Linked DNA regions of Ovis aries. The protein of the gene in region 1 interacts with the protein of each later gene in a biochemical or structural test. Links are inferred from orthologs where the notes say so. Each region holds a gene or a part of one and is shown on either strand. Other genes may lie near its edges.

The links.
Region 2: the proteins of UBE3A (region 1) and ACTBL2 form a complex in vitro, tested with the Homo sapiens proteins (2 studies listed by BioGRID). The link is inferred for Ovis aries from reciprocal best matches to the Homo sapiens genes UBE3A and ACTBL2.
Region 3: the proteins of UBE3A (region 1) and UBQLN1 form a complex in vitro, tested with the Homo sapiens proteins (2 studies listed by BioGRID, with this or other methods). The link is inferred for Ovis aries from reciprocal best matches to the Homo sapiens genes UBE3A and UBQLN1.
Region 4: the proteins of UBE3A (region 1) and PRKACA form a complex in vitro, tested with the Homo sapiens proteins (2 studies listed by BioGRID, with this or other methods). The link is inferred for Ovis aries from reciprocal best matches to the Homo sapiens genes UBE3A and PRKACA.

Annotation. Positions count from the first base shown.
Region 1 is NC_056071.1:1,627,715-1,631,214, reverse strand, and holds part of UBE3A (ubiquitin-protein ligase E3A), read left to right. Parts: intron 1-1,327; coding exon 1,328-1,533; intron 1,534-2,125; coding exon 2,126-2,290; intron 2,291-3,500. UniProt on the Homo sapiens protein: E3 ubiquitin-protein ligase which accepts ubiquitin from an E2 ubiquitin-conjugating enzyme in the form of a thioester and transfers it to its substrates.
Region 2 is NC_056069.1:21,992,623-21,995,541, forward strand, and holds ACTBL2 (beta-actin-like protein 2), read left to right. Parts: upstream 1-1,198; coding exon 1,199-2,329; 3' UTR 2,330-2,419; downstream 2,420-2,919. UniProt on the Homo sapiens protein: Actins are highly conserved proteins that are involved in various types of cell motility and are ubiquitously expressed in all eukaryotic cells.
Region 3 is NC_056055.1:36,050,383-36,054,636, forward strand, and holds the start of UBQLN1 (ubiquilin-1), read left to right. Parts: upstream 1-1,454; coding exon 1,455-1,634; intron 1,635-4,254. UniProt on the Homo sapiens protein: Plays an important role in the regulation of different protein degradation mechanisms and pathways including ubiquitin-proteasome system (UPS), autophagy and endoplasmic reticulum-associated protein degradation (ERAD) pathway.
Region 4 is NC_056058.1:9,913,766-9,917,809, reverse strand, and holds the start of PRKACA (cAMP-dependent protein kinase catalytic subunit alpha), read right to left. Parts: upstream 2,801-4,044; 5' UTR 2,791-2,800; coding exon 2,745-2,790; exon of another isoform or gene 1-2,744.

The DNA of each region.
Region 1 (3,500 bases):
TTTACATTATATGCAGAAATACTTTTAAGAAAAAACATACATGAAACAATTTTGCTTGATAGTAAATCAGTTAAAATGATGACAATAGAAATACCAAAAAGGAATATTTTAGAAGAGCCACCCTTTATGGAGCTTTTCTTAACTGTTCTGATCCAGTTAATACCATATTTGTAATTAAATGAAGTTTTTAGCACTTCACTAGATTTGTAATTTCAGCCTGTAAAAAAAAGTTGGATATAAACTGAGATTCAAGTATAAATTAGGTAATTTATAAAATTTTGTTTCGTGAACATTAAGTTGCATTAGAAAAATGTCTTAAATTCATGTTCTTAGGATCAAGGGGACCCTTTAAACTTCCCTTTATATTTAAATTCAACTAAATGTGAAAATTAAACATTTTAAAAACTGTTTAAAAAACTTAAAAACTGGTTGATTTCTTTAAAAAATGTTGATTTTTAAAGTTTATTCTATTGGAACTTCCCTCTCTTTCCTAGATCTAATTCTTGAAATATTTTCATTTAGTTTCACAGTAGCAACTACAAAACATTTTATAGTAAAATGAAATTGTTAAGTCAATTAAAATATCATTTTACATTTATCTTAGATATTTCTTTACAAGGAAAGAGATAAGTCTACCATGGTAATGGCTATTTAATTACTATTTTTAAATGAGTGATATAAATAGTGAAGACCATGTGAAATTAAAAGAAGACTACAAATTAGTTTTGTTTTACTTTTTGGCTCACAGTTAATGTGTATATTAAATGGCTTTGGTTTTGGGCATAAGTTTATCAAGTTTGCCTGAGTTTAAGTACTTGGTATCTTTGTTAAAAAGGTGCTTGAAAAACTTCATGGAACCATTATGCAATTTGGAGGAAAAAGACTTTTTCTTAATGAAATTCAAAATTGTTTTTTAAAGCAATGCATGTGGATTAAATATGTTTTAATAAGTGGAACATTTTCAAAATATGATTCTTTTTTCTTTTGCGTTTTTCAACCATTCAGTGGTAAAAATATGAATGCAAGTTAACTTCTGATTCATGTTAATAGAAGATTAGAGAACTTGAATTTAATGAACAGTTTTCCTAACTTAGAAAATGCCAACAGAATGGCTTATTACTTTAAATATATGCTATACAATTTGTAGCATTCATATGTACTGGAACTTTGTTTTCGTAAGTCCTGACATAACAGAAAAAAGCCCTAATGCAAATAAGTTTACATGTGTAATTATTTTATATTTATTTTTGTATTTTATATGTATAATTATTTGTTCATCTGTAATAAAATATGAAAGTAATGCATTTAAAAAAATCATTTCTTACAGGTATGTTCACATATGATGAATCTACAAAGTTGTTTTGGTTTAATCCATCCTCTTTTGAAACTGAGGGTCAGTTCACTCTGATTGGCATAGTACTGGGTTTGGCTATTTACAATAACTGTATACTGGATGTACATTTTCCCATGGTTGTCTACAGGAAGCTAATGGGGAAAAAAGGAACTTTTCTTGACTTGGGAGACTCTCATCCTGTAAGTCTTGTCATTTTTTATTCTTTTAGATTTTATTTAAAAGCAAATACAGAATTTAATTTATATAAAATTTTTAAAGCTTTGATTTGAAATCTTTGTTAATATTTATACCTAGTGAGATAAACTTGTTTTATTATCTATCTGAAATGCCATAAACACTTAAAAACTTGAAGGAGAACTTGTTACAAGCAAGTCAGCTTTACAAGGTTGATTCTGTAGAAAAGTGTTTCTAATTTTTTTTTTTAATGGAATCATGAGATTGCTGGGTTGAGTCAGAGCTGCCCTTAGTCAGTGGCTCTGGTGGCTGCAGCTAGCCCCCCCCTTACCCTTGAGATGCCTCTAAGGGTCTCGGTAGAGCACAGTGTGAGACCCATAGCTAAGTAGCTGGTGTGGGGTTTCTCAGCAGAGGGACGCGTTAACCACTGACTGACTGACTTTCTTTATGTCTGCATAGAAACTACTAGAAGAGGGGTACTGTTTGTGGTTTAATTCTTACTGTTAGTTTTTTGAATCTTTTCCCAAGAAGAGTGATACAGATTGTTGTATTTTATAGTTGTGTGGTAACCTTAATTTTTCCTTTTCTGATTGGTAGGTTCTGTATCAGAGTTTAAAAGACTTATTGGAGTATGAAGGGAATGTGGAAGATGATATGATGATCACTTTCCAGATATCTCAGACAGATCTTTTTGGTAATCCGATGATGTATGATCTAAAGGAAAATGGTGATAAAATTCCAATTACCAATGAAAACAGAAAGGTAATAAATGTTTTTATGTCATCCTTGTCTTTGTCTCTTTAATAACAGAATTTTAAAGCGTATATGTGTGCGTTTGTGCGTGCACTGCTTCAGTTGTGTCCCACTCTGTGAGACCCTATGGCCTGCAGCCCAGCAGGCTCCTCTGTCCATGGGATTCTCCAAGCAAGAACACTGGAGTGGGCTGCCACGCCCTCCTCCAGGGAAAGCACATACACTTGTAGTTTTTAAGGAAGTTTCTAATGTCAGCTCTACAAAGAAATCAAGTAACTAAGTTCTTTTTCATTAAATGAAATAGCCACAGTTCTTTAAACCTTGACTAAAGGCTGGTATGAGAGCACGTGGTTGGGCACTGAACTCCTCCTGGAGAGAGAGGCCCCGAGTGGGCGACAGTGCACAGATGTGGGTGGCTGTGGGTAAAGCAGGAAGAAGGCTGTCTCTCATATTAAGCTGTAGAGGGGTAGGAAACAAGGAGGGTCCTTATAACCAAATGGTCAATAATTGCTTCTAATGCACATACAAATACACGTGCCTTAAATAAACATCTGAAAAGTACTAAAGAATAAATATTTTAAAGAAATCAGTTTTGTGTTTTCTGTTGACTAGAAAAGTATGCATCTGGAAATGGGAATTATGATATATATAAAGTCTTTAAAAACAATGTTTATATTAATACAATTTTTGATAAAATATTAGTTAACTTGGGATACAGAGTTTATTTTCCTTTTTTTATTTGGTACAATAGCTTGCTCACCAAGTGAAACACTGATATTTTTGTTGAAACAGATAACGGTAGGCAGCTTCCCAAATATTCTAGAATAGGAAACATGAAAGACTTCCTTATTTGCTCATTTCCAGTACATTGCACTCTTATTAAAAATGTCAGCTTTTATAAATTTATGTATAAATGGTTTAAATGTTTTTGCATTTGCATAACCTAATTGAGAGAACTTTAAAATTGTATCAAGGCCCAGCTTTTGTTTAATATCGAAGTTGAAACTTATATGTGTGTGGCCTCTTTAGTGGCTCAGAGTGTAAAGAATCTGCCTGCATTGCGGGAGACCTAGGTTCAGTTTCTGGGTCAGGAAGATCCCCTGGAGAAGGGAATGGTGACCCACTTCAGTATTCCTGCTGGAGAATCCCATGGACAGAGGAGCCTGGCCAGATACAGTCCATGGGATCACAGAGTTGGACATGACTGAGTAACTAACAC
Region 2 (2,919 bases), on another chromosome or scaffold:
TCTGTTTTATCATGATACATACATTACCAGGTTATCTATATTTCTATATTAAAAATAAAATGCAGACAAACTTCCTGTGATAGGATCAGGGCTTAATACATCCTAAAACTGAAGTAAAGCTAATACTATTTCAATTGGATACATTTTAACAGTTACAGAGATGGTTGATATCATAATATGAATCTTAAAGATCAAAATGTTTTAAAGATCAGTTCAAATATTACTTAAAATTTTCTTATTGCTAAACTTTGCTCATTGTTATAAAACAAGAATTATTGCACATAAATATTTTATAATCTGCATTTTATCTAATAAATCATGCAAGATGGCTGAACATTCAGCCCCTATGCAATCAACATGAACCCAACAAACCTAGTTCTATGAACAATGTCTAATAAGCATAGTGCTTAATGAAATTTGGTTATTAGAATTTATATCAGGAAAGAAAATCTGTAGTAGTTTATTGATTTTACTTGATCACTAATGCACTAGAAGTCTCTTAAATATCTCTAAATTTTTACATGACACAAATGCATAATAATTACAGCTGTGAGGCCTCTCTGGGTCATTCATTATTTTTATTCATTAAAACAGTTTCTATCATGATAATATGCTTTGGGGTTTGGAATCTAATGGAGAATAAAATCTTGAAAAAGTTGTTTTCAGAGTCAAATTCATAAGAACAATGTATTAAGAATGGAAAATTAAATCTAGGGTACAGAAAATGGACCCAGAGGGCAAACTAGGGAGGAACCGCCCCTTTTGGCATTATTAGCCATACCTCACTCCAGCTTTCTTTCATCTTGCATTTCTATGCCCCATTGCATCATCATCGTTATCCAGACACTGCACCAAAGCAAACCGACAACCCTGTGTAGGTTGCCTAATTACAGTAACCTGAGATTCAGCCACTTGGTAGCCAATTTTCCCCTTATGAAGGAAGGTCTACTAATGATTTGTATCATCATAATTATTAATACCTCAAAGGCAACCCCACCCAGAAATGCTGAGAACTGGTGGGACAGGACATGGGAGGTGCCAGTGTGTACCTTTAAATACCTATCATCACAGCACAGGCTCCCCTCTCTGCAGGCAGCTCTGAAGAGTTGTCAGCCTCTTCATTCTCTCGCTTGTACACCAGAGTCTGGTCTTTGTATTTAACTTCTGTTCACCCATCTGGAAGATTCTGGACAGGACCATGAGTGATGATGAGCTGTCTGCCTTGGTGGTGGATAATGGGTCAGGGATGTGCAAGGCAGGCTTTGGTGGTGACGATGCCCCCAGGGCTGTGTTCCCTTCCATGGTGGGGCGTCCCCGGCACCAGGGGGTCATGGTAGGCATGGGCCAGAAGGACTGCTATGTGGGGGATGAGGCCCAGAGCAAGAGAGGCATCCTGACCCTGAAGTATCCCATTGAGCATGGAGTGGTCACCAACTGGGATGACATGGAGAAGATCTGGCACCACACCTTCTACAACGAGCTCCGCGTGGCTCCAGATGAGCATCCCATCCTCCTCACTGAGGCACCCCTCAACCCCAAGATCAACCGGGAGAAGATGACTCAGATCATGTTCGAGGCTTTCAACACACCTGCCATGTACGTGGCCATCCAGGCTGTGTTGTCCCTCTATGCCTCAGGCCGGACCACCGGCATCGTGATGGATTCTGGGGATGGGGTCACTCACACTGTGCCCATCTATGAAGGCTATGCCCTGCCTCATGCCATTCTACGTCTGGACCTGGCCGGCAGAGACCTGACCGATTACCTCATGAAGATCCTGACAGAACGAGGCTACAGCTTCACCACCACGGCTGAGAGGGAGATTGTTCGTGACGTCAAAGAGAAGCTGTGTTATGTGGCCCTAGACTTTGAGCAAGAGATGGTCAGCACTGCAGCATCCTCCTTCCTGGAGAGAAGCTATGAGCTTCCCGACGGGCAGGTGATCACTATTGGGAATGAGCGCTTTCGATGTCCAGAAGCCATTTTCCAGCCTTCCTTTCTGGGCATTGAGTCCAGTGGAATCCACGAGACAACCTTCAACTCTATCATGAAGTGCGATGTGGATATTCGCAAGGATCTGTATGCCAACACCGTGCTGTCCGGAGGCAGCACTATGTACCCTGGCATTGCTGACCGGATGCAGAAGGAAATTGTAGCCCTGGCACCCAGCACCATGAAAATCAAGATCATCGCTCCCCCAGAGCGGAAGTATTCTGTTTGGATTGGGGGCTCCATTCTGGCCAGCCTGTCCACGTTCCAGCAAATGTGGATCAGTAAGCAGGAGTACGATGAGGCTGGTCCTCCCATCGTCCACAGGAAGTGTTTCTGACTGGGCTTCCATGCTAATGCATTGGCATTGTCCCCAAGTTCTAGATCATGGCGATAGTACTGCTTTTATCCACTTCCAATTGAGTCAAGGTAAATTTCCATTCTTGCTAGTGTGTAAACTAGCAAATTCATCTCTATCCAAGCATTGTGGGCTCCCGCCCAGCTAACGATATTTGACCTCTATCAACTTCTGGATAATTCTGATATTCTATTCTATTTTCTTTACCATTAGGGGTCAAAGAAATATAGACTTGCTTAAATGAAAATAAATGACAAGGAGTAAAGTGAGAAATGTCCTTCCAAAACAGATAACTAGAATTTTCAATCTTTAAATACTAGTTCTTGCTTTAAATATTTAACAATAGCAAGCTGTACAACCTGTAAAAAAAAATGTGTATGTATTTAGCAAACATGCCTTATTAGTTAGAATTTTGGTTTGTTTTGCTTCTTTGTATAGAGACAGTAAATTATATGGGTCAATGATATTCATATATTTATAAGCACTGAGGAAATAGAATAATCTATCTTAAAATATACTGATAAATCTGGCTATCTGAACAGCTAATGTGAATTTCTTAATTCCCCAACAGT
Region 3 (4,254 bases), on another chromosome or scaffold:
AACTTTAGACCCAGATTTCAGAGTGGCTTTGCTAAGAAGTGGACTTCATAAAAGAGTACTTAAAAGAGCCAGGACAGAGTTGGACGGTTTAAGAACAGAAATATAAAGTGTATCTTTGCACATCTGGGTCACGGTGTGGTGTCAAAGTTTACATTTGCGCAATACTGGTTTATAAAGTTTATGCCCAGTGTTGTACATTTCTTGCAAGCCATCTTTAAAGGCAAGTGATGAGGTCATTTCCAGTTTAATATTCTCTAGGGGAAAATTAACTTCCTGTTTCTTATTTACACATGTATTACACTGAAAATAATTTTTGAACCTTTTGTGTCACCTAAAGGCTGAAAGAGCAGTAAGTTAATTTGATAGAATATAAAATGAACACCTCAGCTACACTGTGCTGTCCCAGCCGGGAGGGCATGCCTTGGATACTATGTTTCTGCCCTAAACATCTCACGGGACAGTATTCACAGAGAATCACAGGTGGGCTAGCGCGCCATTGCCAACATAGGAGGCCTGATCACCTGACCAAACCTGGCTGACCAGGATGGGAAGCTCTGGCCCCGGAGCACTGACTACTCGGAATAGAGCAGGGTGGGCGATAGGGGCGTACTCCGTCCATGCGCACCGTGTAGTAAAAGCAAGCGTTTAAAATTTTTAAAGTACGCGAAATTTAAGCACATTTAAATATCAACTACAAAAAACCCTCGCGGGCATTTGTTCCAGACCCTCCTCCCCGTGGGGTACACCGTGAAGCAAGCTCAGGCTCCTAGGGGATGCGCACCGTAACCGCCAGAGTGAGGTGAGAGGGTGGGGAACTAGCGGGCCTGCCATCGCGCAGGCGCAATTCCGGCCGCAGAGCCCGGTGGTCTAGCTTCCTTTCCAGTAATTTCGCTAGCCGTGACGTCATCCTCGTGCGCCCTTAACGGTGCCTCCCAGAACCCCCCCAATTTATTTTTTGGTTAAAGAGATAAGAAGGAATGAACTGACCTCTTCCACCCCACTTTGTTTTTAGTCCTTCACTCTGGACGCACCTACGCTTTGAGCAATGGAGCAGGAGAGGGAAAGAAAAGCACTCAGAGAACCAAACCGCGCCGGCCAGGCATGACTCGGCGACGTCGCCAGCCGCCTTACCCGGCGTGCCCCGCGCGGCGCGGGCAGAGCGGCGTAGGGGGAGGGGCGGGGAGGAGGAAGCGGCGGTGGCAGTGGCTGCTGCGGATGTCGCTGCGACTCATCGCCGTCTGAACACACAGCGGCTGCTGAGCGCCCGACTCGGGCCTGCGCCGGAGCCCACGCCAAGCTCCGCGGCTCCTCGCCCGCCAGGGCGGCCCTGAGCCAGTTGTCACTGAGGTAGCGTGCCCCACATTCTCCGCTGCCCGGCCAGGCCGGCTCTGGCGTTGCCTGGCTCCCGCTCCCTCACCCGCTCCCTCCTTTGCGCCTGAGTCACCGCCGCCGCCATGGCCGAGAATGGTGAAAGCGGCGGCCCTCCAAGTTCCCAGGACAACGCCGCCGCGGCCGAAGGTGCCGGCGCCCCCGCCGCCACCGCCTCCACGGAACCCAAGATCATGAAAGTCACCGTGAAGACCCCGAAGGAGAAGGAGGAGTTCGCAGTGCCCGAGAACAGCTCCGTCCAGCAGGTGAGGGCCGCGCTAGGCTCGGGGCGGGGTGGGGATGGCGGCAGGACCTCCGCCAGCGGCAGGAGGAGACTGTTTTGCAGGGGCTTGAGGGTAAGGGGTCGTCTCCGGAGGTGCCCTCGGCCATTCTCCGGGGTCTGATCCCAAATTAGATCACACCCAGGTTTGTGGGTTTGCTCCTGGGGACACCGCAGAGGTTTGTGGCGTGGCCTCTTGGCCTGTTTATGGGGCTCGCCGATGCCGCTCTCCTCGGCGCCTTCCTCTTGCTCCGGCGTCCGCCGACCCCAGCCTCCTCCCTCAGCTCCCCGCCTCGAGCCGCCTCCCTCTGACTCTGCACAAAGGAAAGAGACCCGCCGCCTGGCTCGGGCGGAGTGGAGGCTGGGCGAGGGTTTGGCTTAGCCCGGTCTGCGGTTTTGTCTCTTGAAGGGGGGGAGAAAAAAAGGGGGTGCTCATTGTTTTACCTGCCTGGGGATTAAAGTAGATTTTTGGGATGAGGAGCACGTGTGCATTTAGTTCTGCGTTTTGACCGCTGAAATCTTTCCCACCTTCCAGTCTTTAAAGAAAAAAATGAGCTATGACGTAGAAATTGCTTTCAGCCAAATCTTAATAGAACTAGGCTTAAGGAGAAAGGTGGATGACTTTCGTTGACGACATGCTGGTTCTGTTTTTTTTTTTTTTTTCTAAGTGTATTTGTCATTCTTTAGATGCCGGTCGTTGGGGAGGTTTTTGTTTGATTTTAGAGGAATAGCAACGTTATTCACATGTTAGCAATTGCAGTCAGATGAAAGAGCACGAACCTGGAGTTAATGGAGGAAATTTAAAAGTAATTTACCGCTTAAAATCTATTTAGGAATACAGTTATTGCCGTTAATTAATGATCTTGAGGAACTTAAATCATTTTAGTTTTTGTTAAATATACGTCCCAGAATATTTCCGTAATTACTGAATTGATCTCAGACAGTTGGTCAGCAGATACCAAGACAGTGTGAACAGTTTATGAAGAAGCAAAAATGAAACGTACCTGTAAGTTTCCCTGAAGGAACAATAAATAATTGCGATATTTGTTTATATGATTATGAACGGTGGTGTGTTCTGTCAAGTAGTAAGAATGTGTAGAAACTTTGACCACCTTTTGAATCCCTATTTTTTTGGTCTCTCAATTTTCCTATAAAATTCTCCCTTAATTTTTAAAGTATTTTCCAGCATACAGGAAAGTTGGAATAATTGTGCAGTGAACTATCATGTGTCCATCACCTACATTTAGCATCTTGCTTTATTTGCTTTATCAAACAATTAATCATTTATTGGTCAATTTTATTTTTTGGATGCAATTCAAAGCAAGTTGCAAGTAGTAGTACATGTTACGCTTTTAAACTGTGGTGTTGGAGAAGACTCTTTAGAGTCCCTTGGACAGCAAGGAGATCAACCAGTGCATCCTAAAGGAAATCAGTCCTGAATATTCATTGGAAGGACTGATGCTGAAGCTGAAACTCCAATACTTTAGACACCTGACGCGAAGAACTGACTCATTTGAAAAGACCCTCATGCTGGGAAACATTTAGGGCGGGAGGAGAAGGGGACGAAAGAGGATGAGATGGTTGGATGGCATCTCGGACTCAATGGACATGTTTGAGTAAGCTTTGGGAGTTGGTGATGGACAGAGAAGCCTAGCGTGCTGCAGTCCATGGGATCGCGAAGAGTTGGGTACAACCGAGCAACTGAACTGAACCATTGAGTTCAGGTTTTCAACTTAAAATTTTTGAAGGTAAATTTGACTTGCAGTGAAATGCAGTCGGTTGCCATTCCAGGAGTTTACACAAATACATACACCTGTGTAATCCGAAGTCTTCTGGTGTCTGCTTCTGAATGTGCTATCTAGGTTGGTCATAACTTTCCTTCCAAGGAGTAAGCAAGCGTCTTTTAATTTCATGGCTGCAGTCACCATCTGCAGTGATTTTGGAGCCCCCAAAAATAAAGTCTGACACTGTTTCCGCTGTTTCCCCATCTATTTCCCATGAAGTGATGGGACCAGATGCCATGATCTTAGTTTTCCGAATGCTGAGCTTTAAGCCAGCCTTTTCACTCTCCTCTTTCACTTTCATCAAGAGGCTTTTTAGTTCTTCTTCACTTTCTGCCATAAGGGTGGTGTCATCTGCATATCTGAGGTTATTGATATTTCTACCAGCAATCTTGATTCCAGCCTGTGCTTCTTCCAGCCCAGCGTTTCTCATGATGTACTCTGCATATAAGTTAAATATAGAGTTTCACATAAATGGTATACGGTATACACTCTGTTGGGTAAGGCTTTTTCATTCAGCTTAGGTTTTGAGACTCATTATTATGTTACTCCTTGAAAGAAAAGTTATGACCAACCTAGATAGCATATTGAAAGGCAGAGACATTGCTTTGCCAACAAAGGTCCGTCTAGTCAAGGCTATGGTTTTTCCAGTGGTCATGTATAGATGTGAGAGTTGGACTGTGAAGAAAGCTGAGCACGGAAGAATTGATGCTTTTGAACTGTGGTGTTGGAGAAGACTCCTGAGAGTCCCTTGGACCGCAAGGAGATCAGTCTTGGGTGTTCTTTGGAAGGAATGATGCTAAAGCTGAAACTCCATTACTTTGG
Region 4 (4,044 bases), on another chromosome or scaffold:
AGTGACTAACACTTTCCCCCACCCCATCCCCGGGCTGGTTCTAAATTCCTGCCCTCTTGAGAGGAGGCCAAGGCTGTCCTGCCCGAGCATGGAGACGGCAGCACAGGGGGCTCCAGGATGCCAAATGGTGCCTACTAAGGTTTGGCACTTTCCTTACTCTAGTTGGGCTGATGTCTGGCAGATGAAATTCAGGTGCCCCCTGAAGGCTGGCCTGGCTACTATCCCTACCCCCACCCCATCCTAGTTGCGGGAGAGGGCAAATTTTGCCTAACTCCATCCTCTCAGAATAGGAGCTTTGAAGCAAAAAAGGGCTTCTTTACTCATCCTGTCTCCTTCTCCAACAGCCCCTGCAAATCTCTGGAAGGAAGTACAGCTTAGGGTGTTTCCCAAAGTGTAACCAGGTCCCACTGGCTGGGGACGAACTGATGTTAAGGATATTTTGCCTTTCTAGTTACACTGTATCTTAAGGTGTACCAGAGAGAATATAACTGGTATAGCAATCCCATGATTTCATTTATATTATTTCTCAGGACAGATCAAAACTTACATCTGAACAAAAGTGAGTCAAAATTTTTATTTCCGTTAACAAAATAGAAGTGAATATAGTGAAAAATCAGGGGGGCAGCTTTGAGTTGGGAAATTCTGGGGTCCAGGAATTTGGCTGGTAGATGGAAATGGATGTGAATCCTGCTTCTGTGGCATCATCTATGTCAAACTCAGAGAGCTCATTTGTAAAATTCAGGTAACAGCCTGTTATGAAAAATCACTTGAGCAGAAAGATCTATGAAGACCATTTAGCCTGGCACATCCTAGCTGCCCAGTAAATAGTGGCTCTATTTTATCCTGATAGTCCCTTCCTGGCTGTCCAGCCTGTACTCTGAATTAGCGGTTCCTTCTGGAGCTTCTGATCTTTTTCTTGGGAATCCTTTTCCCTGTGTGGCTTTGCCACCCCACCTCTCTCCACTGCATGTGTTTGATACGCCTTGAAAGTTTTCCAGGACTATGGCACCTCCCCAACTTTCAACTGAGTCACTGAAATATACAACTGCCTGCTTCTACCTTCTACCTCTGGGCGGGCCTCACCTGCTGGGGGCCCAGCCCCTCCCCTTCTGTCTATCCCCTCCAAGCTCATGCCCAGACCATTTTTGGTCACTACCCACCTGCTCCTCTGTCATCAAGCGCTCAGCTACAGGCACTTGCCTCCCTTTCCCCCGCCCATCAGTGACATGTCAGGCTTCTCCATGGCTGCTCAGCAGCTATAAGTTCTGCTATTTGAATCTGGGTGGAAATAAAGTTCCCTGGCTTCCATGCTTGGGTCTTTCTGGGAGGGAGCATTCAGGGAACTCAGACACTGGGATCTGAGACAAATAACTGGGAAAGGCATATTTGGATGTGGCCATTCCTTTTCAACTCTATTTCTGGGTAACTGGAAAAGGATCCTAGTTGAGGCCCAACTTTAGGGCTGGAGTGATGACAATTTGAGAGCTGGATGACTTGAGGAAGGAGCTCAAGACCATTTCTGAAGGCATTTCCAGGTACAGAATCTCTTTCCCTGGCTGGCTGGAAAAGGCCTATATGATTTGGGGGCTTAAGGTGGAAACAGGGCCACCTCTGGGTGAACCCTGGGGATGATCAGAATCTGTCTCTTGGCAAAGCGAGTCATTAGATGTCACCCACTACTCTTCCTAACTGTCATCCCTTGAGTCCTCTTTCTCACCATCCCAGCTCTAGCTGAATGAGCCCTGGTAAACTCACTCTTAATCCCCTACTTTTCATCCCAAGCCAGGAGCAGGTAAAGAAGCCTGAGGGACTGGGTGAATGATCAAGCCTCAGTTGTGACACAACCATTTATTGAGGGGCCCTCCAAAGAGCCTAGAGCTCACTGCACAGCAGGAGATGGGAAGGGGCTCTCTGCTGAAACCCCTCACCCCCAAAGCCAAGGAAGAGGACGCATGGAGTTCCAGCACGATTGGCTCAAACCTGGCTTCGCAAGCACAGAAGCAGTTCTCTAGGTTCACAAACAGTGTGCGACCCCGGCCAGGGACAGACGCTTGCTTGGAGAAGGAAGCACAAGCAGAGAAGCAGTGACAGTGACAGGATGAGAGAGGGGCAGAGGGACCCAGAAAGAGCCTGTCCCCCATGCCAAGTGACACAGAAGGGAAAAACAATGCTGGAAGTGGCTCTGGGAAATGCTCAAGGGTGGGTTTGAAGAGGGGCTGTGATAAGGTGAAGAGGGGAAGGGCAGGAGAAAGATGGCGGGGGCTGGAGGGGGTAGGGGTGTGGTCACCAAGTGGCCAAGGTCCCTGTTGGGCGGAGGCAGACCCCATAGCACTCCCAGGCTGGCAGAAGCCTGGGTCGGGGTTTGGCAGTGAGTCTCATCTGTGGAAGAGGTGAGTGAGGAAGTGGGGGGGGATTAGAACCTAAGGAGAGGGGCCAGGAAAGTACGGAGTGGGGTGGTGATAGGGCCCCATGTGGGGGCCCAGCGGTCATACGTGCCATGGTTGGCAGTGACAGCTGAGGGGGGAGCACAGTCTTTGCAGTGGAGGGGCGGTTTTTGGCAACGGGGTTCCTACGAGGTCTTCTGCGGGCCCCGGGCCCCAACCTTGGACAGGCAGGGGGAAGGGGCGCCTGGGGGTAAGCAGAGAGAAATGGGGGGGGGCGTGGGGGGAGGGGCCAAGCAGTGATGGACAGGGAGGAGGCTGGCAGCGCGAGGCCGGGATCGGGGTCACGGCCCGGGCACTCACCGCTCTCTTGCTCACTGCCCTTCTTGGCGGCGGCGGCGTTGCCCATCGCGGCGGCGGCGGCGGCCGGGGCCGGTCCCGGAGCTGCGGCGCGGCGGGTGCTGGAGGCGGCCCGCGGCCCCGGAGCACGCTGGGCGGCGGCGGCGGCGGCCCCTCGGGTTGGCTGCGCTGGCTGAGGCGCCGCGACCCCCGCCCAGCCCCTGCTTCCCGCGTCTCTCCGCGCCCGCCCGCCCGGGAACCTCAGCCCAAGTCCGCTGCTGCTGTCCGTGACGCCCCCGCAGCCCGCAGCTCATTGGCCTAGGCCGCCCTGACTGACGGCGCTGCGCCGCCATTCATTGGCCCTTCGCGACCCTCCCGCGCTGCCATAGGCTCTCGGCCTCATGACGCGCTCCTAGGACGCTTGGCCACTCGAGCGCTTGCGAGACCCCAACCGGGCGGGCTAACACGTCTGATTGGCGGAGGCTTCCGACAGGGTCCGGGGTCCGCCCAGCGAGGATACCAATTGGTGGAGGCGCGCTGTCCGGCAAGCCCCGGCAGAACGTTCAGTGTCAATCCCTGGGTGAGAGGGCGGGGCGGAGGCGCAGTCTGCTGCCCCGGCGCGCCGGCGGCCGCTGGCCGGCGGCCGCGCAGCGCTCCGAGGCCCAGGAGGCGGTCCAGGCAGGCGTTCGCCCGGCCCCGTGCGCGCCGCAGTCCCCCGCCCCCGTTCAGTGCGGCAGCGGCTGCGGGCCAGCCAAGGTTGGCGCCTCGGCCCCCCCAACCCCAGCCCCGGCGCAGCCGCTGTCCACCTGCCAAGCGGGGGAGGGGCGCGGCAGGCGCCGCGGGTCATAGGTCGTCGGGCTGCCGGCCGTCGTCATTCATAAGGCCTGGCGCAGGATAGCAGCAGCAGGGTTGGGTCCAGGATGGGACCCTGCTGGAGGAGCTTCAGGAGGATGCTGGGCTCTGGGAGTGGGGCCCTCAGTAGACACCTCTTTGCTGGGTGCCTACCCTGGCCTCATGCCAGTAAGAGCTGGCACTTGTTACATACATTACTTCGCACCACACTCCTTTCACGTAGGTATTATTATCATCATTCCCATTTTACAGATGAGGAATCTGGGGCACAGCCAGGTTGAGGATTCCCTCTGGGCAGTGCAAAAGGAACCTTATCTCCTGAAACAGAGTAGCAAGATGCCTCTTCCTTCAGCGTGCGTGCGTGCATAATTAGTCGTGTCCGACTTTGTGACCCCATGGAATGTAGCCCATCAGGCGCCTCTGTTCATGGGATTATCCAGGTAAGAATACTGGAGTGGGTTGCCATTTCCTC